7 linked regions of the Solanum lycopersicum genome follow. The protein of the gene in region 6 binds, or shares a complex with, the protein of the main gene of each other region. Links are inferred from orthologs where the notes say so. Each region holds a gene or a part of one and is shown on either strand. Other genes may lie near its edges.

What was found.
Region 1: small ribosomal subunit protein uS17c (region 6) and 30S ribosomal protein S13 share a complex: the UniProt entries of both Arabidopsis thaliana proteins name them as parts of the 30S ribosomal subunit. The link is inferred for Solanum lycopersicum from reciprocal best matches to the Arabidopsis thaliana genes RPS17 and EMB3137.
Region 2: small ribosomal subunit protein uS17c (region 6) and small ribosomal subunit protein uS10c share a complex: the UniProt entries of both Arabidopsis thaliana proteins name them as parts of the 30S ribosomal subunit. The link is inferred for Solanum lycopersicum from reciprocal best matches to the Arabidopsis thaliana genes RPS17 and AT3G13120.
Region 3: small ribosomal subunit protein uS17c (region 6) and small ribosomal subunit protein cS23-like share a complex: the UniProt entries of both Arabidopsis thaliana proteins name them as parts of the 30S ribosomal subunit. The link is inferred for Solanum lycopersicum from reciprocal best matches to the Arabidopsis thaliana genes RPS17 and PSRP3/2.
Region 4: small ribosomal subunit protein uS17c (region 6) and small ribosomal subunit protein bTHXc share a complex: the UniProt entries of both Arabidopsis thaliana proteins name them as parts of the 30S ribosomal subunit. The link is inferred for Solanum lycopersicum from reciprocal best matches to the Arabidopsis thaliana genes RPS17 and PSRP4.
Region 5: small ribosomal subunit protein uS17c (region 6) and small ribosomal subunit protein bS6c alpha share a complex: the UniProt entries of both Arabidopsis thaliana proteins name them as parts of the 30S ribosomal subunit. The link is inferred for Solanum lycopersicum from reciprocal best matches to the Arabidopsis thaliana genes RPS17 and AT1G64510.
Region 7: small ribosomal subunit protein uS17c (region 6) and small ribosomal subunit protein cS23 share a complex: the UniProt entries of both Arabidopsis thaliana proteins name them as parts of the 30S ribosomal subunit. The link is inferred for Solanum lycopersicum from reciprocal best matches to the Arabidopsis thaliana genes RPS17 and PSRP3/1.

Annotation. Positions count from the first base shown.
Region 1 is NC_090804.1:939,434-943,070, forward strand, and holds 30S ribosomal protein S13, read left to right. Parts: upstream 1-1,440; 5' UTR 1,441-1,519; coding exon 1,520-1,633; intron 1,634-2,020; coding exon 2,021-2,245; intron 2,246-2,859; coding exon 2,860-3,027; 3' UTR 3,028-3,137; downstream 3,138-3,637. UniProt on the Arabidopsis thaliana protein: Located at the top of the head of the 30S subunit, it contacts several helices of the 16S rRNA.
Region 2 is NC_090809.1:1,050,955-1,055,024, forward strand, and holds the start of small ribosomal subunit protein uS10c, read left to right. Parts: upstream 1-1,270; 5' UTR 1,271-1,438; coding exon 1,439-1,645; intron 1,646-1,910; coding exon 1,911-1,958; intron 1,959-4,070.
Region 3 is NC_090802.1:7,166,393-7,170,524, forward strand, and holds small ribosomal subunit protein cS23-like, read left to right. Parts: upstream 1-1,332; 5' UTR 1,333-1,439; coding exon 1,440-1,688; intron 1,689-3,280; coding exon 3,281-3,562; 3' UTR 3,563-3,768; downstream 3,769-4,132. UniProt on the Arabidopsis thaliana protein: Component of the chloroplast ribosome (chloro-ribosome), a dedicated translation machinery responsible for the synthesis of chloroplast genome-encoded proteins, including proteins of the transcription and translation machinery and components of the photosynthetic apparatus.
Region 4 is NC_090804.1:66,172,126-66,175,569, forward strand, and holds small ribosomal subunit protein bTHXc, read left to right. Parts: upstream 1-1,232; 5' UTR 1,233-1,455; coding exon 1,456-1,633; intron 1,634-1,735; coding exon 1,736-1,800; intron 1,801-2,690; coding exon 2,691-2,813; 3' UTR 2,814-2,944; downstream 2,945-3,444. Other genes in the region: uncharacterized protein, read left to right, coding at 1-6.
Region 5 is NC_090807.1:67,612,550-67,616,638, reverse strand, and holds the start of small ribosomal subunit protein bS6c alpha, read left to right. Parts: upstream 1-1,289; 5' UTR 1,290-1,404; coding exon 1,405-1,755; intron 1,756-3,668; coding exon 3,669-3,908; 3' UTR 3,909-4,089. UniProt on the Arabidopsis thaliana protein: Binds together with bS18 to 16S ribosomal RNA.
Region 6 is NC_090802.1:65,817,206-65,820,593, reverse strand, and holds small ribosomal subunit protein uS17c, read left to right. Parts: upstream 1-1,434; 5' UTR 1,435-1,486; coding exon 1,487-1,948; 3' UTR 1,949-1,949; intron 1,950-2,437; 3' UTR 2,438-2,888; downstream 2,889-3,388. Other genes in the region: photosystem I reaction center subunit VI-1, chloroplastic, read right to left, coding at 31-161. UniProt on the Arabidopsis thaliana protein: One of the primary rRNA binding proteins, it binds specifically to the 5'-end of 16S ribosomal RNA. Required for optimal plastid performance in terms of photosynthesis and growth. Required for the translation of plastid mRNAs.
Region 7 is NC_090804.1:4,043,275-4,046,859, reverse strand, and holds small ribosomal subunit protein cS23, read left to right. Parts: upstream 1-1,350; 5' UTR 1,351-1,437; coding exon 1,438-1,659; intron 1,660-2,686; coding exon 2,687-2,968; 3' UTR 2,969-3,085; downstream 3,086-3,585. Other genes in the region: homologous-pairing protein 2 homolog, read left to right, coding at 3,551-3,578. UniProt on the Arabidopsis thaliana protein: Component of the chloroplast ribosome (chloro-ribosome), a dedicated translation machinery responsible for the synthesis of chloroplast genome-encoded proteins, including proteins of the transcription and translation machinery and components of the photosynthetic apparatus.

The sequences.
Region 1 (3,637 bases), on a different chromosome or scaffold from region 6:
TGACGTTCCTAACAAAATTTTCTTGATACCTAGGGCTTGAACTTGCAATTAATTAGAGCCCCGACAAATTCTGATCGCGGCGCATTGTGGACTCATTCAAGAGTGGCACTCCCAGCAAAACTTTCCTCATACCTAAGATTTTAAACGTGAAACATCTGATTAAGGGTGACACAATTTCATCATTACGCCACAATTTATATTTAAAAATAAATTAAATTTAATGATTTAATAAAGTAGAAATACATGTTAATTAATCATAAATTAAAATTATTGTGTATGTTTCAATACATATACATATTATGCATTTATTTATTTGCGATAAACATCTAATATGGATAAATTTTAATTTTTTCAATGGGTGGCAATTAAGTTGCTATTTATAATGCCGCATAAACAGTTATTAGTTATTGCTAGCAAATTCGTAGGATTTTGCAATTGGAAGGTGTTTTATTTTTAGGAATTTATAAAGTAAATTACTCACAACTCATAAGAATCGTTTGAAGTACCCATTAAGATGTAATTTATAGGATTAGTAAGTCATGAAATTTATTAGTTATAATCTTATAATATTAAAATTACTAAATTAATGGAGTATTAAAATTTATAAAATTCTTTACTTTAAAAATAGGTTCTCTCTAATTTTCTCTAAAATATTCTTCTTGTTCTTGCTTTATTATTTTATAACCACTTCTAATCTTATGTTGTTTATAAGAATTTTTTATTGTTGCCCATGAGAGATCTTTATTTTTATGCCTACAAAATTTTAAAAGATCAATTTTCTTTTTATTCAATTGGTAAGTGATCATGTAAATTTATTTTCAACTCGCATTTCTATCGCCCCAAATTTAGGTTAGGCCTTAGATAAAAAGAGCGATATCAGAAATGAAATGTAGAGATTTCTTTGTAAAGCTAATATTTTCTTCATTTCAATTAGATGTAATACGAAGGCTACAATTACATGTTACAACCAAAACATAATATGAAATTTCAGATGTAAAATAGAAGTAATGTGACGTGTAAAATGTGTAGAGTACTGATATAATGTCTAGTTATGTTAAATTATTAATAATATTTATAAAGTGCATAGTAATAAATTACTATCGTCTTAATGAGTTATCGATTCATCCAATAACCAAATACTAAAAATTGATACCTAATCAAAAACCCTTTATAGATCCGTTAAAAATCCATTAACTCAATAATTCAATAACCCAATAACATTTTTTTAATAGGTTTATTGATCGATTCGATTTTTCCACATCCTTATTGGGAGGTGACAGTATGATAGACATCGGTGAATTTAGTCGAGTGCATGAAAACTAGCCCGAATACCATATTAATAAAATAAAATTTAAAAAAAAAAAAAAAAGAACAACCGGGGCTCCATATTAGCAAACCAGGTCGAAAAGAAGAACTCCATTCCCTATCCAATTTTCCCCAATAGGATAAGAAAAATAGACCAGCAAAAGGCTCTATCTTCTTCCTTCTTCAATTTCTTCATCAATCAAGATTTTCAACAATGGCGCAAACACTAGCAACTCCTGTACTTCCTTCTCTTTCCCTTATCTGCAACACATCTTCCATCTCCAAGCACAGTTCCCTCTCTTTTTCTACTCCCACATCTTTTCCAAAGGTACACTTCACTCCCTTCTCTTGAAATTTGCAGTAATCAAACATGGAGTTTGCTGAAGTTTACATTTTTTGACCTTTTTCGTGTAGGAATTGGAATGGGGTTTGTCTTTTTTTTTCTCGCAATTTTCTCAGTAACCAAACATGGGTTTTGCTAAAGATTACTTTTTTTTTTACCTGAGTAGGAATTGGAATGAGTTTTTGGATTTTTCGAAATTTTCTCAGTAACCCAACATGAGTTTTTTTTGCTAAAGTTTCCGTTTTTTTGAGGTGGGATTGAATTGAGGTTTGCTTATTTTTCATATTTTTGGACTTTTTTGAGTTGGAATTAAATTGGGTTTTGCTAAATTTTCCATGATTTTGAGTTTGAACTGAAATGAGTTTTGTGTAGACTGCAGGTTTGGTTATAAAGTGTGTGCGTGTGGGAGGAGTGGAAGTTCCAAACAACAAAAGAGTTGAGTTCTCTTTGCAATACATTCATGGAATTGGCCGCACCACTGCACGCCAGATTCTGGTAGACCTTCAAATGGAGAACAAAGTGATGAAAGACATGTCGGAAGAGGAACTTATCACTCTTCGTGAAGAAGTCTCTAAGTACATGATTGAAGGAGACCTTGTGAGTTTCATTGCTCTAATTTGTACTCATTTGTTTTCGTTCCAATGTGCATATCCTTATTGAAACTTATATGCTTAGGTAATTTGATTTCGATATCTAGTTCATGTAACTTTGCTGTGGTTGCTGTTTATTTTAGCTCTATAGTTTAACTTAATGCCATTTGGGGTTCTAAGAAATTTAATTCATTTTGTCTCAAGATAGGAATTGAACCAAAAAAACAATATCTTAAACCAATCTTTGGTCCAACTTTTACATGGAAAGAACCATATTTGAGCTGAAACTGCATTCTACATATCTTGAGATTAAAACCAGAAGATCGAAAAATCTTCTTTACTTTCTTAAACTTTGTGTCAAGTCAAATCCGGACAAACAAATCGAAACAAGGGGAGTTATTGTTAGGTGGGTATGTAGGATCATGGCTTCTATATGCATCACAGCCTTATCCCAAATTAAACAGTTCTTATGGAAATGTATTTCAGAAGAAATCGATAGCTTGTTTAGCAATTGGCAATGTTGATTGAGATTCTTGTGTATAAGGTTGTTTGTTTGATTGATGCTTCGGCTTCCTATTTGAAACGGGAAAATTGATTACATACTTGTGGTGTTGGCATCAGAGGAGATTCAATGCTCTTGCCATTAGGAGGTTGAAGGAGATTCAGTGCTATAGAGGAGTAAGGCACATCCAAGGATTGCCTTGCAGAGGACAACGAACAAAGAACAATTGCCGTACTTTGAAGGGCAAGAAAGTAGCAATTGCAGGGAAGAAGAAGGCACCTCGTTAAATCAAGATCGATTTTTCATTTCTTTTGGTAACTAACTTGTAAAAGTTACACTCTATATTCCTATGGCAAACTGTGCATTTGTTTGTTATAAACAGTTTTTTCCATTGAAATCATTTTTCTACATTTCAAGATAAGAGCTTTTCAAGAAGAATGTTGATGCTTAGGCATAATCTCTTCCTTAAATCTTGTTAAATGTGTTTCATGTGGAGTAATTGCGAATTTACGTTATTCTGATTGGATGATTTGGTTGACAGGAGAAAGGTTTGTTAAGTTACGTTAGGTGTCATAATAATTGTTGATGTAACGACCTATGAAGTGCAGTCCCTATCTATGAGCCTTGGTTTAAGCTTCAAGTTCAGTAATGTGTTTGGGCCAAGTATTTGCATTAATGTGATACCAAAGTTTTACAATTTGAGTCATAGCATTGTTAATGTAATGACTCGTTAGGTCATTTTGAGAATTAACTAAAAGCATAGAGTTTGTGGCACCTTTTTGTCACATGCATGAGCATGAAAGTTAAGTCCCACCCCTTTAGTACTCAAGAAGGTTCACTTTTCTCAGGTTTCTTGAAGACCATGACTTCTGTTTTTCAATAGTGATGATGTTCAGA
Region 2 (4,070 bases), on a different chromosome or scaffold from region 6:
AGTTGATAGATAGACGTAATACTACAATCCCATTTTTGTGTAGCCAAAATATTTGTGCCAGTTGAGAATAGTTGATCCTCTAACAACATGCCTGCATTCTTTTTCTCTTTGGTAATAATTAAGAATGTCAATGTTTGTGGGAGCAGCTGGTTGATTCAGTATGTATTATTCTCTGAATTTCAAGACATTAAGATTGCATCATATGATTCATAAGATTTACTTATATGGAATATTGACCACTATGGTTTTCTTTTCTACCGGTAAGAGTGCAATACATGGTGTGTGGGTTACGTGCATGTGAGGTTCCGAAAGCCTGCTTGATATTTAAGTGGAGAAGAGTATGAGTAGATGGGTAGAATACCTGGTGTGTGGGTTACGTGCACGTGAGGGTTCCAAGTTATTGCGGATGGAAGCCTACTTGATATTTAAGTGGAGAAGAGTATGAGTATGAGTAGATGGGTAGAATACATGGTGTGTGGGTTACGTGCATGTGAGGGTTTCAAGTTATTGCGGATGCAGCCTACTTGATATTTAAGTGGAGAAGAGTACGAGTAAATGGGTAGAATACATGGTGTGTGGGTTACGTGCATGTGAGGGTTCTAAGTTTTTGCGGATGAAAGCCTACTTGATATTTAAGTGGAGAAGAGTATGAGTAGATGGGTTGATTCATTATTTATCGAGTTTTTAATTGTCGTCATTTGAAGTATGAGGTTGTCCTTTCTCCTACTCAGAGAGACAATTCACTAGCGTTTTGGTGATAAAGAGTTTGAAATTTTAACTTCAAATATCTGCTTAGCCGTGAAATTTGATTAGATTTATTTTATCTTCAAATATTTCTCACGTTCCTAAAATTGATTAAGACTAGTTTTTAGGACATACTCACAAAACTTCAAATTTTCAATTTGATGAATAGCTATTTATGTCAATTTTTCCAAAATAACACAAGAATATTTTTCTTTCGGAGATAGCGATACTTTGAAGTTTGATTATCAAAAACATAATACGTAAATAAACACTTAAATTTATAAGTAAGCAGTTCAATTTTTGAGTATGTACATCTAGACACTTAATAATTGAATACTCCAACTCAAGTCACATAAATATTTATTTATGTATTATGTCAATTATCAAACATAACAAAAAAAAATTAGAAATCAAATATAAATATCTATTTATGTATTATATCAATTATCAAACGTAACAAAAAAAAAATTAGAAAATTAATTCAAATGTTGTCCAAATACTAGGTAAATATTTGGGCCTAAGAAGCAATAAAAAAAGGGAAAATACATAATAAGGATAAGCCTTGTACAGAAAATTGTATAGTTATTTCTCTTCTTCGGATAAGCTTTAAAACACAGAAAAATTGAAGAAGCTCCTAAGGAGGAGAGCTCCAATCTCCATTAGAGACCAAATTCGAACTTTAGTGAATACCCAAATGGCGATTTCATCGTCTTCACTCTCAGCAGCTCTTTTTCCAATGTGTAATTCATCTTCCATTTCTGCACAACCCAAGTTTTCTCTTCTGTCTTTGCATTCAAATTCTGTTAAGTTACAAGTTTTCAACCAATCTCGAGTGTCTACAACTAAGGTTTTTGCTTCTCCTGAAGTTTTGGATGCCCAGAATGTTGAAGCTGATGTTGAGGTTTGTTAATTATTTGGGCTATTTTCAGTAGACTATACTGTGTGGTTAACATTAAAAAAAATGCTTTTTTTTTGCTGAATTATTGTTGGGTATTCGTCTTTCTACTGAATTGTTGCTGGGTATTCCTCATTTTACTGTATTGTTGCTGGGTATTCGTCTTTTTACTGAATTGTTGCTGGGTATTCGTCTTTTACTGAATTGTTGCTGGTTGTTCCTCATTTTGCTGAATCGATGTTGAGTATTTGTCATTTTGCTTTATTTATAGGATATTCTAGCTGCTTCAACGCTGAGTATTGGTGGTGACTCTGACAAGGTAAACTTTTTCTCTTCCAGTCCTTTAATTTTTTAATTACTAACTGTGGTGTCTGGACCAACTTGCCCGCACTTGGTACCTCTGGGAAGCACTGGTATCAGGTAACTCTGTCTACCGACAAAGGCGAATGTAGCCTCATAGAGCCAACTACTATGATGTTGAGTATAAATATAAAGTTTGTAGAGGTTCACTGAGACTACAACAATTAGTAGGTCTTAATCCATAACTTTTAAAATATTGTAGATTCGATGCTAAAACCCATAGAGTTCAAATTCTGAATCCACCTATATATACCAAGGTTTGAATAGATGGAAAAAATCAACTAGTGCATTTGCCTATCCTAAATTAGTTGAGTTTGCGTATAAGGAATCTTGTGTACACATTCACCATTATTGAGGTGGGGTGGAGATGGTTCAGTGAAAGTAGACTATTTTAGTGAATCTATCTCAATCTGTAACCTTTATTCGCTTGGGACACCGCTGTGCTTTTTGTGAAGTTCATATAGGCAGTGTTTTTAGGGGGTGATGTTTGATGACTCGTGATTCCTTCTGAGATTTCTGCATTGCTTTATGTTATGTGCATTTTGTTTCTATCTAAGAGAATGTAGTCAAGATTTTGCCAATGTATTATGACTAAGATGTTTCCATTTAAACCGTTTATCTCTCATGTAGAAGTTTACACACTAGACAAGTCTTAGGAATCAACCATTTACTGTTTATACAGTATTGGTGTTTGTAACTGATCACTCAAGCTTATTTTTGTTTGTGTTGGTGTGAACACATCTTTTTTTTTGAATTTTATGCTGCAGCCTTAATTGAGATGGATACTTCTTTTTTGTTGGTAACAGTTATGAAATAGGATAGAGCTGTATGTTTGTCCATAGTCTTAATGAAATATTTGTTGTTTGTTTTCTTCTTTGGCTAGTGACTTTAAAATGTATTAGAATGATAACATTCTTTTGCTTGGTGCTGACAAAAGCTAGCCTCATGGCTGGAGGAGAACATGGGGACATGAAAAAAAGAATAGTTGTGACATGCAGATTATCACATCAGAAAACTACTCTATCTATACCACTTAGTGAAGCAACCCTAAAATTCACTTGCAGTGAATTGGAATTTTCTTATAGGGAAATTTGCAATGATGATATAATCTGCTCAACAGCCAGGCAACTTTTGATAAATGAGCGTACAAAGTTCTTCACTGTTAGATTCCTCAAATTGGTGATTGTGGAACCAATTGGTCTTCCTCAGTTACTGAAAGTCTTAAGTAACCTGGAGCTTTAGTAGTGAATTGATTATCTCTTAGCCGTCTCCTCTAAGTAATTGTGTGCGCTGAATAATTTTCTTCTAAGAATTTTTATTGATGCATCAAGAAGCAAAAGTACAGAAATTTGTCTAATGGATAAAGCATGCACGAGCTACATCTAATGCTTTTCGGACCTTTCACTACTGTGTTGGGATGCTTCATTATTATAGTAACAAGGTCATTAATATTACTCCTAGTGTACAATCCTCTTCAAGGATAAATTTGAGTTGTATTTCTCTCTGGCTACTAAGTAACATTGATCGGAAAATATTATTGGTTGAAATGTTCACTTCTATCAAGACTACTTTCATAAAGGTTTGATTAAAGCGATTTTTTGGTTCACTTATTTGCTTGATAGTAATTGTGTTCAGCTATGAATTCTAAAAGAAAATCTTTGAATCATTTCTAGAAGTCCATGTAAGCTGAAAAAATATTAGAATTATAGTGAAACTGGAAGGTGGTGGGTTGCACAGGAGTATGCTGTTTTTAATGAAACTGGAAAGGTCATTGCAGATTCCGCCTTTAACTCTCACTTAGTTATGAATTTTACGAACAGGCTTCCCTCAGTTTATAAGTTTTATCTGTGGGAGTCCCTGCAAAAATATTATTTCAAAGTTAGGATGGACTTGGAAAAGTTATTGTTCGATATGCAAGAGGTGTAAGCACCATGAGGTGTGAAGTGATCTCGGGCTTCTCCTTCCAGCTCTTGGATACTTATTCAGTACGAGTTAAATCTATGAACTTCGCTGAGAAGCGTCCAGTGGCTGTTCTAATTCAGCATTAAGCTCATCGTGGCTGTGTAGTATC
Region 3 (4,132 bases), about 59 Mb from region 6:
TATTAAATTCATTAAGAATACAACAAAATACAATACAGCAGAGCCAGAATTTTCAGTAAGTGGATTCAAAATACTAATTAGCAGAAGAGGTCGAAGAGGGTTTGACATCTACTATATGTAACTAAAAACTATTTTAACCATGTATAAATAATATAATTTTCCGCCGAACGAGGTTGGGATGAACCTAACTATAAGGTGGCTCTGCCATTGAATACGATACATTATGTGACAATACATAACAATTATTCAAACAAAGTGGAAGACTTCAAAGGATTATTGAACATTTTATCTACAAGTGTATTGTCTCTATGAAGTAGAGAGACCAGCAACAGAATCTAATGGTATATCTCTAAATCTGAACCAATCAATAACATGAAAACTGAATTGGACAACTTACCTGGTGATTGATGTCTCTAACGAAGAAGAAGAAACTCCAATTAGAAGGATATTGAATGAGAAGGAAAAATGAAAAAAATTGAAGTGAATTTAAAGCCAAAAAAGAAAGGGTTATTGAAGATTTACGTGTTTCACGGGTTGACCCGTTTTAAAGGACTGTTTGGTGTGGCTGCTTGTTAGAGTCGCGCTGGCTTTCACGGTTTTCTTTTGGGTTAGTTTACTCCAAAACTACACTTTTTGACCATTTTGTATTTGGCCTCCTCTTTTCTTTTTTTTCCTCTTTATTCGATTCGAGTTAATTATTCTAACATATTTTATGTTATTGCGATTCATAGATGATATTGATATACATTATAATATTATGATATATTGATTTATTTTACGAGTTTTGATCACTTTATCAAAAAAGAAAGACTTCATTTTAAAGGGAGTGAAGGGTATTTAAAAGTGGAGTCGTAAATATTCTAGGTCCCTTCTTAGCCGCTGAATCACTATAATTTCTGGTTTCGTTAAACCTTTTACCATCCATTGTATCACAATCATCTTAAGGATAGAGAACCAAGTTTATTTTTTTCTTTGAATAAAATGTCCAGACATAGAATAATCATTTGAGTAAGCATTGTTGTTACAATATAATCTCATTGTTAGAAATATATCCTATCTAAAATTATCCAAAAATTGTACTCCAATCCACAAATAACATATAATTCAGAAATTTTAGGCTATTGTTGCAATTATATCGGCCTAAATTAGCCTGAAATTAGTCCAAATAATTAAACAATAACCTAAAGTATAGTCCCAACACTAAAGTTTGCTAAGTTAATTTTTGGTGGATATTCGATAGTTTATAAAGTTTAGTATCATGATCCGTCACTTTTAAAGTCGAAATCCGTGATATTAGGCTATCATTTAAATAGATTTACCCAACCCCAAAAAATCCGGGTCGGGTTATATTGTGTCGGATCTTTTTTTCTTATCTAGACTTTGATGAAGAACACAACACAATGACAGAGAAGCTCTGAGTTTCCCCTTAGCTGTTGAAAATGATGTTATCAATGGCTACACAGCTTACTGTGAATTGGGTTCCTGCGTTTTCTTCTCAAAACCAATTTTTTTCACCCAAATTTGTCTTCTTTACAAAGGGGCAGTCTTTTTCTCGACGTTCTAATGTCTCAGCAATCGTACCCAGAAGAAATCTTGGGGGTTTTGCTACTTCAGCTGCGGCTGCCTTGAGTTTTGCTGAAGAAACATCGACCCGTGATTCTATTTCCTCAGATTCTCTTCAAAAAGAGGTAATTTTCACTCTCTGACTTCCCTCTTAGGTGTTGTTTGGTAGAGTGTGTATAAGTATCAGTAATGCTGCGATTATTTCCTATCCATTGTTTGGTTTCTGTTTGTTAACCAACCAACACCTGCACAACTGGCCCTTGTTTTCGGGGGCGAGCTTAGTGCACCAGGCTGTGGACAGTACATGGTCCAGAGGGAGCTTAGTGCATCGCGCTGCCCGTTATAATCCTTTAGTTTTTTGTTGAATTGTGGGAAGTGAACCATCCTCTTAATGTTAAAAGATTTTGCATCCAAGGGTGTGTCTTAATTGTCAATAGAACTAGAATGAAAAAGATTACAATGGAAGACCATGTAATAATCCACCAGAGGCACTATGAAGAATAATATGTAGTTTCTTCCGATTTGGGGATCGCCTGGAAATTGGAATACTAATTTTAAAAAAGAAAAGTTGTAAGCTTAGGAATAATGGGGCAGATTTATTTATAGGAAAAGGGCCAATTTTTCTCTTGAACTATTTGAAATAAGATTACTTTGTTGTCCGTTTCGGTTTTTGGCACAAAAATACCTTTGCCATTAGCTGGCTTGATAAATCACATTCTTACTATGCTATCATCTTTTAAGTTGATCAAAGTGTAAGTTTGTATTCAGTTATATCATAACATTCAATCTCTCCGTACTAGCGTAAAGTAGATATTCGAGTTAACTTTATACTATGGGAACGTTATTAGTATCTTTTTTCAGTTGACAGGAAAAAGGTCTTTCTCGTAAAAGATAGCATTAATTTGTGAAGATTTGCTATCAAGAACAAGTTCTTAATACCTAATCAATATTCATTAATGACCAAGCAAATAAATTTGTTTTCGTTAGGGATGATATATAAAATGTTAAACATGACCAGATGCCTCATTGGTTCCAAAATTTTGTGGGTGATATTGACTTTGTTTAAGGACTGGAGGATAACTTTGTCCCTTTTCCATCTGAGTGGGACAACCGTTAGTGAGTAGGGAAATTTTGAGCCACTTGGCTAACAGCGATGGCATTTTTGTTTCATAAAACGAAATGGAGGACATAATTGTCCTATTTCAAAAATTTAAAAAGCAAAATTGGTCTTTTATCTTTATTTTTATTATGTCTGAAAGGCTGCAACAGATCTCCACGGGTTTGATTAGTTTTCTTTTCCGATTCTTTTTTCTTGAACCAAGTTGATGGATGACGGTTCAAACCAGTGCATCTGTCGTTTTAATACGATGTTGGGTGAATGTCTCATTTAGTTGTTTAACCTGTTAAAAAAAATTGTTTTTATTTATTTTGTTATGTATGCAACACGTCTCCTCGGCTCTGTTTCTTTCTTGGACCAAATTGATGGCTGGTTCTTCGTACCAATGCATCTGTGTACTTTAATACTATGCTGCGTGAATGTCTCAAGACATTTATAAGTTCAATGGTTAGAGACGAACTGCTTTGATTTACATAGTTATGTCTGCAATATCTTTATTTTGGTGTTTGATTCTCATTTTATTTAGTTTTTTAAGAATTTCATAATATTTGCACCATTTTCATTATGGTGTTTGGCTCTTACAATCTGCTGGATGTACAGAAGCTCGGTGTGTTGGTCAAGCCACTGGAGAAACCTAGGCTAGTGTTGAAGTTTATTTGGATGGAGAAGAACATCGGAATTTCACTAGACCAGGTAATTCCTGGTCATGGCACGATTCCGTTGAGCCCCTACTATTTTTGGCCTAGAAAAGATGCTTGGGAGGAACTTAAAGTCATGCTCGAGAGTAAACCATGGATATCCCAGAAACAGGCAATTATTCTTCTTAATCAGGCCACGGATATCATCAATTTGTGGCAACAGAGTGGTGGTGATTTAGCCTAAGCCTTCATAGAACAAGATTTGTCATGCTGCCACTGTTCATCATTTATCTTTAGCAATCATGCCTGTTATGTTGTAACTTTTTTCACTTGAAAGGTCAGTCAAAACTTATTCAATTTGTTTGTTTAGATTTTCCTCTTGTTTCCTTTAGTTTTTGGATCATATTGTAAACTATATATCTTAAAATGTTAGCCTTGGTTCTTCATGAATATTAACATCTAACAGAAACAAAATTAAATTGTACTGATGGTAGGAATTTATCTATGTTGAGTATCGCACGTCGTGGGGATAGTACGCTCATTTGGTCTCTTTATATAGTCTTGGCTAATCCTTCTCCATTTGCTAGGTCCAAGATTCATTTCTCATCAAAGGTATCTAATCCAGACCCATCGCAATTCATCGTTTTCGATGTTGGCCCCATCATATATTGTTAAAGTGTCCCTCATTGGTTGGGATAGGGTCATTTGGTATCCTTATATGGTCTTGGACTATCCCTTTAATGAGTTAAGTTTTGGGGTTGAATTAGGCTAGTGATTTATATTTCTTACCATATAGCTTGGGGTTGAACAACGA
Region 4 (3,444 bases), on a different chromosome or scaffold from region 6:
GTTTAGTCGTAACAGAGAAAAATTGTTCAAGAAATGCATCAAACTAAGGAGAAAAATGGTGAGATTCCCTTATGCTTCTGGTAATTTTAACTACAGAGTGGAGAAGAAGTTCCTCAAGACGTCGATTTAAATCACATATTTGAATAAATACTAACGTGAATGATCGATCTATTGTGTTTTTTTTCTGTAGGGAAATGGCTATATTATTTGTTCTTGATTTTCTGTGTCTAGATTGAGTAGAGTGATTTGCATGGGAGCTGTTCACCACCACCAACAACAACATCTACGGTTCAGTACCAAACAAGTTGAGGTCGACTATATGAATCTGTACTGTCATAGTTCGAGGTCAATTTTGTGGTCGATAATAAGTGAATTGAGTTCTCAAATTTTTGTAGAGTAGGGTATTTCATCTTTTGACTGACTTGTTATTAATATATTTTTGTATTTTTGAGTGAGTTTGGTAAAAAAAAAATTATAATCAATTGGGAATGTCTTGTATGATTAATCATTGTGTTACTTCCTACATTGTATATCAACGTACATTTTTTTCTTTTTTCTTGTCTTTTAAGAAATATTAAAAATATTTATTTTTTTACTAATTTACTGTTATAATTATTTTTCATAAATTCTATTTTTTGTGTCTTTATCTGTTAATAACAAAAGAGGAACTTTACAATATTTATATTTTTAATCAAAAAGAGTCGATTTAAGGTGCAAAATGGAAAAAAATAGAATTAATTTTTTAATTTGACAAGTAATTTTGAATAAATATCTTTGTTAATGTAGACAAGTAGTCTGTCATAGAGGTGTACTATTATCTCATTACTTCTCTTAATTATTATATATGTTAAAATTTCTTTATGTATGTGATGAAATCTAACTATATTTATACTCCCTCCGTCTCATTTTGCAATTTATTTGTCTATTTTCACACATAAAAAAAGATAATTTTTTTTCTTATTATATTCTTATTTAAGCTTCCTGAAAATTTTTAAGTTTTAATTCATCTTTTTCGAAATCATAATTAATAAGGGCAAAATTGTAACTTCACTATTCTAATTATTGCTATATTAATATGTTTGTCATTTCTAAAATGGACAACTAAATAGGAACAGATAGAGTTTGAGATAACACTATTATTCCTTATTTCTCGTTCCAAACAATCCTTTTCAGGTCTCAGTTTATTGCTTGATATACTTTTACATAAAAAATAATTGATCTTCTGATAACTTGAATTCACAATTTTAAAGTTTAAAATGAATGGTATTTACCATCCAAGTAACTCTTAACGTTTTTTTTTTTAAAAAAAAAAAACAAGGAAAAATAAGTGAATTTTACCTTAATTCAGGGGTATTTGAATAAAAAAAAGACAAAGGGCACATTATCTAGAAACAGAATAAGAAGCTATAGAACCACCACAAATAAAATCTCAATTCTATCAGTTGAGCTGCTGCAATGGCGTCGTTGTTAGTTGGTTCAGTTCCTATGAGTACTGTTCAATCCATGGCTTCTCTTTCTCCTAATTTATCATTCTCTCGTTCTCACTCCGTCGCCGGCAGCGTTTCAATTACGGCGGCATCTCCTTCACCATCAATTTCGTTTTCGTCTCTCACTGATTCAAATCTCCCATTGGGTACGAATCACATACCTTTTCGAATTTATTGTTTGTGAAAATTTTGTGATGATTGAAGTTTCAGTTCGAGAAATTGAAATTTTGATTTGATTTCATTTTCAGTTTACTGCGGTAGAGGTGATAAGAAGACGGCGAAAGGCAAGCGGTTCAATCACTCCTTTGGCAATGTGAGTTTGTATATTTTGGTTTATTGCAGGATAAGACCTCCTTAATATGATTTAGTTTCAGATACACCCCTGTATATTTTATAAACAAACACTTACCTCCTCTATATTAGGAGAATCCTACACTAACATTCTAGTTTGATACGTGGAATAAGAATAATAATCTCGAAATAGAATTTGAGATTAAATTTATTGCATATTTGAGTTAAAGGTATTGGCTTAAAATAACGAGTGTATCGAAGATGAATAAATAATTCCATGAGATATTTAATGTATTTATGCCTTTAAATTTTAGAAAAGAGAAGTATGTGTTTTGTTGAAATTGATAAATAAGATATCAACACAAATTACTTAATATGAATAATTTTTTAACTCATATTTGATTAAATGAATGTTAATTCCATATAAAATGATTTATAGATTCACTTGGAATAAGATTATTGGTGCATAAGGTTTTGCATAATTAATGCAGGAGTTTAATGCTTTTAATATTATAGAATTTTATACTGAGATTCAATTGTTCATACATTTAGACGAATTGACCCCTAAAAAGTTTTGAAGTTTATTTTTGATTGCAACCTAGATGCATCTCGACTAATTTTATCAATAGATGGGATAAATTACCTAGTGTTATTTTGTCTCTGATAGAATTTGAACCTGAAACCTCATGATTCTCGACCCTCTTCGTTAACCACCAATGTTGATGATAGATTCAAAATAGTCTGTTAAATATGCTCTAACCAATTTTTAGTACTTTGAAGTTTAGAGTGTTATCATCATACGTTTAACAATTTATGTTCGTTAGATTTGACAGAAATAGTGAAAAAACAACAGTTGTTTCGACATTTTTTGTTGTTATTTTGAACTGATTCCGATGGTATGAATTGGTTTAGGCAAGGCCAAGGAACAAGAAGAAGGGAAGAGGACCACCTAGGGTTGCAGCACCACCAGCAGCACCAAAGAGAGATCCATTTGATGATGGCCAAGTCGTTAAAATTGAAATACATGACCCATAGTTTTCTCGGAGGAGCAATTTCATTTTTATGTAGCTCTAATCTTCTACTACTTTGTTTATTTCATTGAAATATCGATTAAGTTAATCATTTGGACTGAGATTTCTAGTTTGCTTGAAGGGTCTTCGTTTAAATGCTCTTGTGTCCTGTTAAATTATGCATTTTGGTTCTAGCAACCTTCAGTAGACAAGTGGTAATAGTCACTACTTTAGCTATTGAGAAAAGTGAAAAGCTTAGAGAACCCCACATTCCTTATGGGTTGAAAACCACGAGGTTTTAGGTTCATATACTAGCGGAGACAAACACATTAGGAGGTCTTTTTGTAGAGTGTATAAGAATAGTAATATATAGTGTATTACTAATGCTGGGATTAGTTATGTTGGAGCTATTTCCTACCCACTATTTGGTTTGATATATTATCAAGGGCACTTTGGCCTCGAACAAAGAAAGGATCAAAAAATGTCATAGCTAATACATCCTACCAAATGACCCCTAGGTGGTTCTTATTTAGACCTTCGTGGATAGAATTACTCCATATCTGTGCTGGTTGGAGGTAACCTTTACCTCGAAGAATTAGTCAAGATGTGAGTGAGCAAATCCAGTCACAAAAAAACTTCTTTTGTTTGGGTCACCA
Region 5 (4,089 bases), on a different chromosome or scaffold from region 6:
GTGAACCAATTCTTGTGATGAAAGGGAGTCTTGTAGTTAAGATTGTAATGATAATGAGTAAAGCCCGTGTCTTTAACTTTAACCTTTCATTGTTAGAAAAACCTGTACCTTTGTTATGTAGTTTCATATATCGACTGCCAGTTTCTAAGCTTGTTAAAGATGTGCCAGCCTAGAACTTGTATACCCCCTTCACAGAATAGCTAAGTGGACGGAAATGCTAAATATTTGATCTTCAGTGTGACAAGTTCGAATCATAATGGCCTCTTGGCTACTCTTGCTCAGTTTTTTCGCTCTTTTACTTCTACCTATTAACCATGTGTAGGAGAAAGAACCCGTTTTTTGTAGATACTGATGTAAGACCTATTACTAGTATAGATATAGATAGTAGTTCTGAATACTGAATGCTTCTAGGAGAGTGATGAGGGGTCAAAAGAGACTGGATTTTGATCTTTCTAGCAACAAAAAACAGCATACCCAGTGTGATCCCATCAGGTTTGGGGAGGGTGATGTGTATGCATGCCTTGTGAAGGATACACCTTGCTGCTCATGTAAATTCTTCTAACCCAGTAAACTATTACCCTGTTTTGGGTGTTGGGCTCATGTCATAACTCATAAGCCAATATCTTTGTTTTGTGGATATATACTTAATATATACACCTGCTTCCACTTCTATTGCAAACTTCCAATTATCCTTTTTATCTTCTATTTTCATAAATGGAAGATCCAATTGATATATTCAATTAGTCATTCGTCAAGTACATTGCCAACAACATAATCATGTACAAGATCACAATTCTCGATTCAACAAACATAACTCGAACAATGCAATTTGATTTAACATATAGAAAGTGCTATGTTTTTGTTATGCTAAATACATTACAATAGATTCTTTGTTCATTAGGAGATCTTCACCAAATTATTTATTCAAAACTTTGCTTACTTCTACCTCCTTATACTATAGTTAAGAGGGAACACAAACTGCCAATAAATAAATAAATATGGCCTCTTATAGTCACTTTAACTTGGTTAATTTTGATTTTGATCCTTATAATATCGAACTAAACACATTTAATCTTGAATTGATTAATTCTTTTAAAGAGGATTAAAGTATTTTTAGACGAATATTACCGTAAAACATGAAATACCAATACAATTTCATATTATATGAAAATTAAGTGATAGAACAATTAACCATCACTTTCAATTAATTAAAAATAAATCAAATTTAATCCATGACTTAAATTTTGCAAGAAAAAAATAAAAAGAAAGGAGTAAAGTAGCATTTACAAGTCTTGAGGGTATCTAAACAAAAAAAAAGCAATAAATTTCACTTGTACAATTTTACCAACTCAGAACTGAAAATTGTGAATTTCCTCTTTCTTATCCACTTTATCTCCCTCAAGAATGGCGTCTTCTTCTTCTTCTCCATCAGTACTTCCATCTCTTACCTCCACTCTCTCTTCTTCTAAACCTTCAATACCCTTCAACTTCAAAGGTTTCACCAAAAGGGTCAACAATTCTGGGCAAATCTTGAAAGCCCAAACTCTAGAATTTTCGGGCTCGTTTTTCGAGGGTGGATTTGGAGGAGGAAATGCTGATGAACCACCGACTACACCATGGTCGGGTATTTCTGCAGTTGAAGATAAAGAGGAACCGCAGTGTCCACCTGGGTTACGCCCTTATGAAACAATGGTGGTATTGAGACCTGATATGTCTGAAGATGAAAGACTTGCTCTTACCCAGAAATACGAAGAGGTAACAATGATTGTTTTTGTTTTTGGAAACTGATATAACTTGCAAGGTGCTAAGCTCAATTTGGGTGGATTCTAAGTTTTCAATTGCTGATTTGACTGTTTGAGCATTAGAGTTGAAGTTGAGAGTTCTAAAGATTGAATTTTTGAAACTAATATACTGTTTCTTTCCATTTTGTTTGGCGCATTTTGCTTATTTAGGGTCAATTTGATTGACTTTTGGAGATAAATTGAACTAGACTAATTCCTTTTGTATGAGAAAGTATTATAATTCTCTTAGTATCCCGAGTGTTCTCCGGAAACAGCCTCTTTACCTCCAATATATAGGTGTATGGTCTGCGTATACTCTACCCACAGACCCCTCTTGTGATGTTTCACTGTTTTTTTGTTGTTGTTATTGTAATTTTCTTAGTATCTATGCTGAAGGCAAAGAATAAATTTTTAATATGTTTGTCATAGTTCATGAATGAGAAGTGAAGGTTGCCACACATTAGGACTGAAGGAGTAAGTATTTTTATCAGAAGTTGAGCTGCATATAGTATCATTTGATACTCTTCAGCTGATTTCATTGTGAACTGGGAAATGAAGATAATTATACTCATTTGAAACAGGGAGATCATTTAGGAAACAGAACAAGTGATTGATATTTGGTTTGACATGATGAGAATTTCTTCCATTCCCCTCTCTTGGCTAAAAAAACTGTTTTTTTTCTTTCTTTGTCTGCTAAGAGGCGGAAACCTGAAAGCAAAAGCAATATCGACCTTGCAATTTATTTAAGCACAAGATTGTCCAAGAATATTCTTCCTTTTTGTTTTTTTGTCTACTCACTAGAAGGCCATTCTTTGGAAAAATCAGATATTTGAACCTAACAACAGTCAACAGTGTTTGGGTGCATAATTCAACATTTTGTTATAATTTAAGCTGACATGGACATGATCTAAGTAAGAAGAAAGTTAGTCTCAGCTTCTGCTACAATTTTCATTCTTCTTGTTCCCATGTAAGAGCTTTCATTTTTAATCTTGTTCTTTTTCTCTATCTGCTTTTCGAGTCCAAAAGCCTTGGTCTGATGACTATTATCACCTTATCATTCTTCTTTGTGAACATGGATGATCATTGTATTTTTGTTTGCCCATCTCATTTTTGATGTTATAGTCGACGTCTATAAGAAAAATAGGCTTGCAAAGCTGCGGAGGACAATAATAGAAGTACTTAAAGTTGATGAAACTCTATTTTCTACATGACCCGTTTACTACTGTATTTCCGTTTCTTACTGATTGTTGTTTTGTTTCACTTGAGCCGAGGGTCTATTTGGAATAGCTCTATACCTTTACTAGGTAGGGGCAAGGCTGCGTACCCACCAACATCCCCATATCCCGCATGTGGGATTGCACTGAGTATGAAAGGACTTAAAGTTGATTAAACTATCTGTCATCTTTCACCTACAAATGATTGGGGAAACTTTCACTTAGTTAAATCCCTGATAAGCTTGAAGAGAGAAAAAAGTTAAGCATCAGCACACGTGTCTTTGTTCTATGTTTGTTCCAACATTTACTGCGTTTCAGCTTTTGCCTAACAGGTCAATCAAATAGACACACTTGTAAGTGCCAATGTTTCCCATGTTTTGTGTTTCTCTTTGTCAGATACTCCGTCTAACCAACCAAAGAAACTCTCTTCAACATGGTATCGGATCAGGCTCTCATTGCCACACATTATCAAAAAAGGATTTACACAAGTCCACACGTGAAGGGAAATATTAAAATTATACTTGACCATCTCATCTAAAAGTACATAATAGACTTATAGTAACTCTGTTATGGATTGAACAGTTCTAACTAATATTGTCTCCGATCAATTTCAGTTGTACATGCTATTTGACGATGCAAGTTATAATCTTTTGTTTTTCTTTCTCTTGGGCAGTTGCTGGTTGCTGGTGGTGGTATGTATGTGGAAGTCTTCAACCGAGGGGTTATTCCACTTGCATACAGCATTAGGAGGAAAAACAAAGCTGGAGAGACAAATACGTACTTGGACGGTATCTACCTCCTGTTCACTTATTTTACTAAACCTGAATCCATTGTAGCTCTTGAGGCAACATTGGTAGCTGATGATGATGTTATCCGGTCGTCCACTTTCAAGATTAGGAAAAGAAAATACTAGTTTGGTTGGTTAGTTTAATTTGTGTATCTGTTCAGTTGTAAAAGACGATAACAGAGAGCAGGCAAGTTTTCCTCATCGCGCCTTTCAGATGTTTAAGTCATGACAGTCCTTTTCACAGCAAAACAGTATCAATTTGTAACATTCTTTTATATTACTGAAAGTTGCCATTACATTCTGCTCA
Region 6 (3,388 bases):
AATTAAGTAAAGAAGGCATGACTTTATTACCTGAATTTAGTGCGGTTAAAATTGAGACGAGATGATTTGAGATGAAGCTTAGTTCCAGTGATTGAACTTCCAGCTAGGCCCTTGATGTTGGTAGTTGGCTGCACTGCAGCAAGGGTTGCCAAAGATGCCATGGCTTTTCACTTCAACAAACTAAACAGAAACTACTACTTTCAGACTTCAAATTTTGGGCTGGCAATTGGCACAAATGTCGATACGTTTCGGTTTTTGATCTTTTTGGGTGGATCCAAACAGGACATATGGCAAATTGGGTATCTTTCTAGATATTAAAATTCCACTAGTATGGGGACACGTGTCGTAGACTGGATAAGCCTATCCTTTGTGGTTTTTTAAAAAAACGTTCAGTAGGTTATTATACCATTAAATAGATATTAATATGATAGTATTTGATTGAATATGAAATTTAAATTAAAAAAATACGGAATTTAAAACAATTTAAGCATTAGAAAGTTATATATATTCGTGTTTTCCTATTGTTGAAATATGTCTCGGATAAAAGCATGCTACAATTGAATACTTAAAAAAATTACTATCAATAAAATTTCACTCGATATCTTAAGACGTGGACAATGATTTCAGATTGTTAAGACTTGATTATTCCCCAATAGAGATAAGATTTGTTTTTACCTTTTACAAATCCTACTTATAAAATTTATTTATTTATTATTATTTATATAAAATAATTTTAAAATTTAAATGTCCTTTCTTCGCTTTAGTATAATTTTTCTTATACGAAAGAAATTCAACAAGTTGGGTAGAGACTACTGGCTGGAGTCTTGTTGAATACTCAGTAAGATCACCTAGAGGATCGACTCACATGCTCTCTACATCAATATGCTTATAAACATCTTAAACCATGAAAATTCAGTAGTTCAAATATAACAAAAAAAAGAAAAGGAAATCTTATACTATGAAAATTCAATAGTTCAAATGTAATAAAATAAAAGAATATCTTATAAGAAGGGAATTCAACTGCATCTCTGGATTGGTCTTTTTAATAATTGTACTCATCATCTCAATTTACGTGATACTATTTAATCAGAAATAAAAATTTAAGAAATTAAATTTTTTTTATTATATTTATTAAATTGTATTCCTTAAAGTTATGTACTAAGTTTCAGTTGACTTTCCTTCAAAATAATATGTTAAGTGAAACCCAACAAAAATAAAATGGAAATGATGTCATTAAATAGTTGTTAAAATAAGAAAAGAAAATATATCTCATAGAGGGGGTAAGCATGAGATATTCATAATATGTGAGGATGCAAGTGTTTGATCTTATAATATAGAGGATGTATTTGAAATTGAATCATACTGTAGGGGTATCAAATGTAATTAACCTAACATTTTAAAGGCAATTAAAAAAAAAAATCAAGAAAAAGGGTATATATCTATATCCTTCCTCTTTCCCTCATCTCTTTTGTGTTATCCTCACACAATGTCTGTAACTTCTCCTCTTCTCTCTCAATTCAAATCCCTCACCATTTCCACCCCTTTTCTCCATGGCTCCTCTTCTCTTTCTCGTCTCTCCACACCCTCATCCTCTATCACTTCCCAAAAACCTTCTCCACCTGCTTTCCTGCCTCCAATTCGAGCCATGAGATCAATGCAAGGCAGAGTCGTCTGCTCCACAAACGACAAAACCGTTTCTGTGGAAGTTACTCGTCTTGCTCCTCACCCAAAGTACAAACGTAGGGTTAGGAAGAAGAAGAAGTACCAAGCTCATGACCCATTGAACCAATTTCAAGTTGGGGATTATGTTCAGCTTGAAAAGAGTAGGCCCATTAGTAAGACCAAGACCTTCGTTGCTATACCTGTACCACCGAGGAACCAGACCAAGGTTAAGGAGGAAGAGAATCAGGAACTTGGGCTTCCGCTTGAATCTCTGCAGACGAGTTAGAGTGAGAGCTTTCTTTTGTACTGTTCAGTTTCTTTTTGTTTGTCTGTTGGTTTCTGTTATGTTTTCATGATAATCATGTATTTTTAATTGACTGATTTTTAGATGATAATGAGTTTATTACTAGATTTCAATGGTGATTGTTGCTTTTGTAGTTGTTGCTAATTTTATCCTCTTTTATCTGTGAACCTCGAATTCTACTTTATTAGACCTGACCCGGAATTAAACTATATTATTTATACATGGTTAAAATAAGTTTATATGTATATATATATATGGTAGATGTCGAACCCCTTCGACTACCTATTTCTACGGATTTTGAACCTCCTCAATGAAATCATGGCTCTGTCTCTGATTATTGAACCATATCGTAGTGAGTTATTAATGTAGCTGAAGTGTTCTTTGTGGATTTCAAATTTCAGAGATTCAAAGACAAAAACTTTGAATTAGCTTCCCTTGGGAAACTTAGAATTTTGCTTCTTCATTTTACAGGCAGTGTATTGGAGTTCTAACTAAATAGTTGAATGTGTGCATAATTCTTGCGATTCATGTGGATTAGTGAACAAGATCAATTGAGGAAATTAGTGACTTTTTGATGGTGCAAGAATATCAGAACTTGATGGTCATGTACTGGTCCAGTTTTAGGTATAACAGAAGTTCAACTTCGATTAGTCAGCTTGCAATGTCATTTTCTGCTTCTGTATTGATTGGGATTTGGGACTATAAAAATGTACAAATGAATTGCTTGACCAACGTTGTTAACACATATCATGCCACTAAGAGATAATATTAGTGATAATTATCTGAAAATGTGTCTTCTGAAGGTTGCTTTGTCCTTTTGATTTTTCCCTGGCTGCAAGAATGAACCATATGAAACCTAAGATGTATAATCCATGATAACATTTTCATATTTTCTTCTTGTAATTGGAAAATATTATTCATAGATTGGGTGGTTGCCTTTATCTTGGCGGAGAGACTGGCATTGAGACAGTGTCTTTGTTTTGCCAAGAAATTTGTATTAATGGTATGCTATGTGTTTTACTTGAGTATAATTATCTTCGGAACATTAATTTTCCAGCTCTTGGATAGAAGGTTAGTCTATGATCATAAGAGACAATATGCTCTAGGCAACAATTTATCATAATGATTGATTTATGTAGATTAGGATATTTTGATCAAGTTTTTGCTCTAGCGCAGTCAAGAAGCTTTGCTACTTTAGCTAGATCTTTTATCAGATTCATATGCGTAAATGCTGTTCATCTTTGCACCCGTGAGAGATAATTTTTTTCCTCTTTTCACCGTCAATGCCTTAGCAACAAGCAAAGAGGAAGCTGCATCAATGGGCATATCATCATTTGACTCTCATATTTTGAACCTGGATAAGGGGATGCATCATACACACTATCTGCATATATCATTTAAGAGGCAACAAACATTCGATGA
Region 7 (3,585 bases), on a different chromosome or scaffold from region 6:
CTTCTGATCAGTCTATTTATTAACTCAACTCATTTTGACTCATTTAAATTCAATTCAACTCATTCATTTGACGTTGTTCTTATCATCATTCTGTAGAACTTACATTTACGACTTGACAACACATCCTTATCACATAGTACCCTAGTACGAACCTTCATTTTATCCAGTCCATTTCAATTATGCAATGTACGATATCATCATCAATCTCCGTTCTTCCGGGATACGACACCTCTAGCCCAATATTAGCTCTTAGGAAAAATAAAACCAAGCGTCACATTGATCATAAAAATATACTTTTTTGTGTATGTAAAGGGCAAATTATAAGTATGAATTGAATTAGTGGTTTCTTCAAATTTGCAACTCATTTTGATCACTTCATAATTAATATGACTAATATTAATATTATTATTTTTTTATTATATGATTTTGTCAATATCATAAAATTCAGCTCAAGTAATGTTTTTTCTTCATAAACTTGAATGAGTAGTACGCATGGACATATATATCAAAAGTCGTCTCTTTTACTAATTATGTAGAAAATGACATTGAAAGAAAAATATTTATGATATATGAACTTCATTTTCAATTTTTTTTCAGATCTTATTAAAAAGATGGCTTTTTATTAATACCAATAAGAAAGAATGTAGCTCTAGGACATTCTTAATATGCCCCTCTTTTGTTAATATTAGAGATTTAATTTCACGAATAGTCAAAGAGGCATACATATATCACACTCATCCACATGTTCAAGGCGCAACATCTATCTCAAAAAATGATTTTCTAAAAATAATAATGATAGACGTGTTAAAAAAGTAATGTGAAGTCATTGTCGAGAGAGTTGCTGACTAATGACCTAAAAAAGTACGTAACATTTGAGAAGCACGAACAATCTTCACCCATGAGATACATTCTACTTTTTTTTGAATAATCAGATAATATTGATCAATTTGATTAGGGATGACAAAATTAATCTATAAAAATCTGATACTCATAAGTTTTGTCTACTAAGAATTGTAAACTTGATAAAAGTTGAACATATTAGACTACGACAAAATACTAACCCATCTTATCTCAAATTTATAATCTTCAAACAAATCGATACCACTCGTTTATCAACACAACTTTAACTCTCAAAAAATTGTTCAATCCGCTCGTTTGACATCCCGAATCAACTCAACGTTGCTAAATATACAAAATTAGTAAAGCTATGATAACTAATGATCATATTTCTTTTGGGCCCAAATCCCATAACATGACCAAAGTCCTCACCCATAGGCCTCTTAGCCCAATTTAAACAACTTTCATTTTTTTTCTTCTATTACCTTATCCATTCTATCATTATCTCAAATTCTCTATACACACTCTTTTTAAGGCCACAATTTTCCCACTTCACTTTTTTTCATCACTAGACAAATATTTTTTTTATCTACACAAAAAATGTTATCAATGTCTGTTCAATCTAGCTTGAAAGGCAATTTGAGTATCCCTTCTTTACCTTCACAAAATCCAGGTTATAAATCCTTCAAATCATGTTCTTCATTATCTTTTAACAACAAAGGTTTATCAACAAGAAGAATTCATAAGATTTTTGCTTCAGCAGTTGCAGAAGCAGAATCAGTTGAAGTTGAGACTTCAGAGTCTGTTGTTCAAGAAATTGAGGTAAAAAATCAGCTCTTTAATTTTCAATTAGGTAACTTTTTTCGATAACTTAGTGTCTAGATTAGTTTTTGCGCTACTCAATTAATTTCATGAATGGTAGTGTTACTTCTCACTAGTAAAATTGAGTAATCTTTGTCTGATTTTGACTTGATACGTAATTTAAGAATGTAAATACTCCCTCAATCCATCTTTACTTGGTCATTATATTAAAAATAGTCGTCTAACAATACTTGTCCAATTTGAAAAACATGAAAACCCTTGATATTGAATACTACTATTCAATATATAATACATTTTCCAAAGCATCAAATTTATATTCAAAGGATAATATAGTAATATTTTAGAATCATTTGATATATACGACAAATCTAGAATTTTTAAGTCTTTGAATTCACTTTTACTATGATTATTTAACACGTACTGTGTTGTTCGACTTTTCTAAATATGAAATGGTAGTCCAACAACTTCTTAATGAAAATGAGTAATAACTAGCAAATTTATGAATGTTTTAATTAATAAAAAAAAGGCATAATTGGGGAAATATATTGATCATTTAGCTAAAAACAGAACAAAAATGGAGTTAAATTATAGCATTACCTATAAATATAAGTTATGTTTCGACAAAAACTAGATATATCAATTCGTACCCTCGAGCCCTAAAATTTTAGTGATGATGAATTCAACCTCTAGATCAAACATTTGTGTCATATACTTGCACCCGTACCAAAACAACATAATGTATGTACATATTGACCCAAAAATAACAGATTCAGTTGAACACTTGAACACATTTAACTCATCCTAGCTAGATACGCCTATGACAAAATCCAATCTCTGACTTCCACCCGTGTCAAATACTCAAACTCGTATTGAAACGTCTACATTATTAAAGATGAAAATAAGAAGTTCAGTTGAATGCACATAATTCATTCCAGATACGTACGACTATATAAATAATAAGCCCAAAAAAGGATAGGATATTATGTTTTGATATCTTATAGTGAATTCTTGGATATATTTTTTTCAGAAAGTTGATATGAAGAAAAAGGTAATTGAGAAGCCAAGGCTAGTGCTAAAATTCATATGGATGGAGAAAAATATTGGACTTGGCCTTGATCAAGTTTTACCAGACCATGGAAGTGTACCATTAAGTCCATATTTTTTTTGGCCTAGAAAAGATGCATGGGAAGAGTTGAAAACAACACTAGAGAGTAAGCCATGGATATCACAAAAGCAAATGATTATTTTGCTTAATCAAGCTACTGATATTATCAATTTGTGGCAGCAGAGTGGTGGAAATTTGACCTAATTGTTGTTTTTGGTATTTATTTGTAGACAAATTGTTTCAACTTTCTGTTTTTGTTTTATCTTATTTTTAACTGTACTATAGTTGATGGAGAATACAATTGGAATCATTTTTGTTTCATTTTTTAAATTGTTTAATGTGTTCTGACTGGACGATAAGATAATCAAAATTTGTGAATAATTTAATAAGATAGGTGAAATGAAGATAGTATCAACAAGTTTTATACGCACAAAATTGAAACCATGGCCGATTTTGTTTTCTTTTAATTCAATATATTTTTTAGCGATTGTTCATCTTCCACCGCCCGTTATATTTGGACTTTATTATGAACTAAAAGCCCGTAAAGTCTCTCTAGTTGGGTTGGTTCATCCTAACAAGGCCCATGGGCTCTATGGCAACTCTCACTTGAAACTTGCGATGGAAGAATCCTCTTTTCGTAATTAGTGGCTATACTAAGGGTAAGTTCCCGCGATGTTCAACTACGACATCGTATAAAGGCCTTCGTGCCCAATGTTTCCTGTGAATTCGAAGTACAGAAATTTTGACAGAAGTTTTTTTTCCCGCGCTCTGTGAATTCTCCAATCCATGGCTCCTAAAGCAGATAACACTGAAGGTAACTT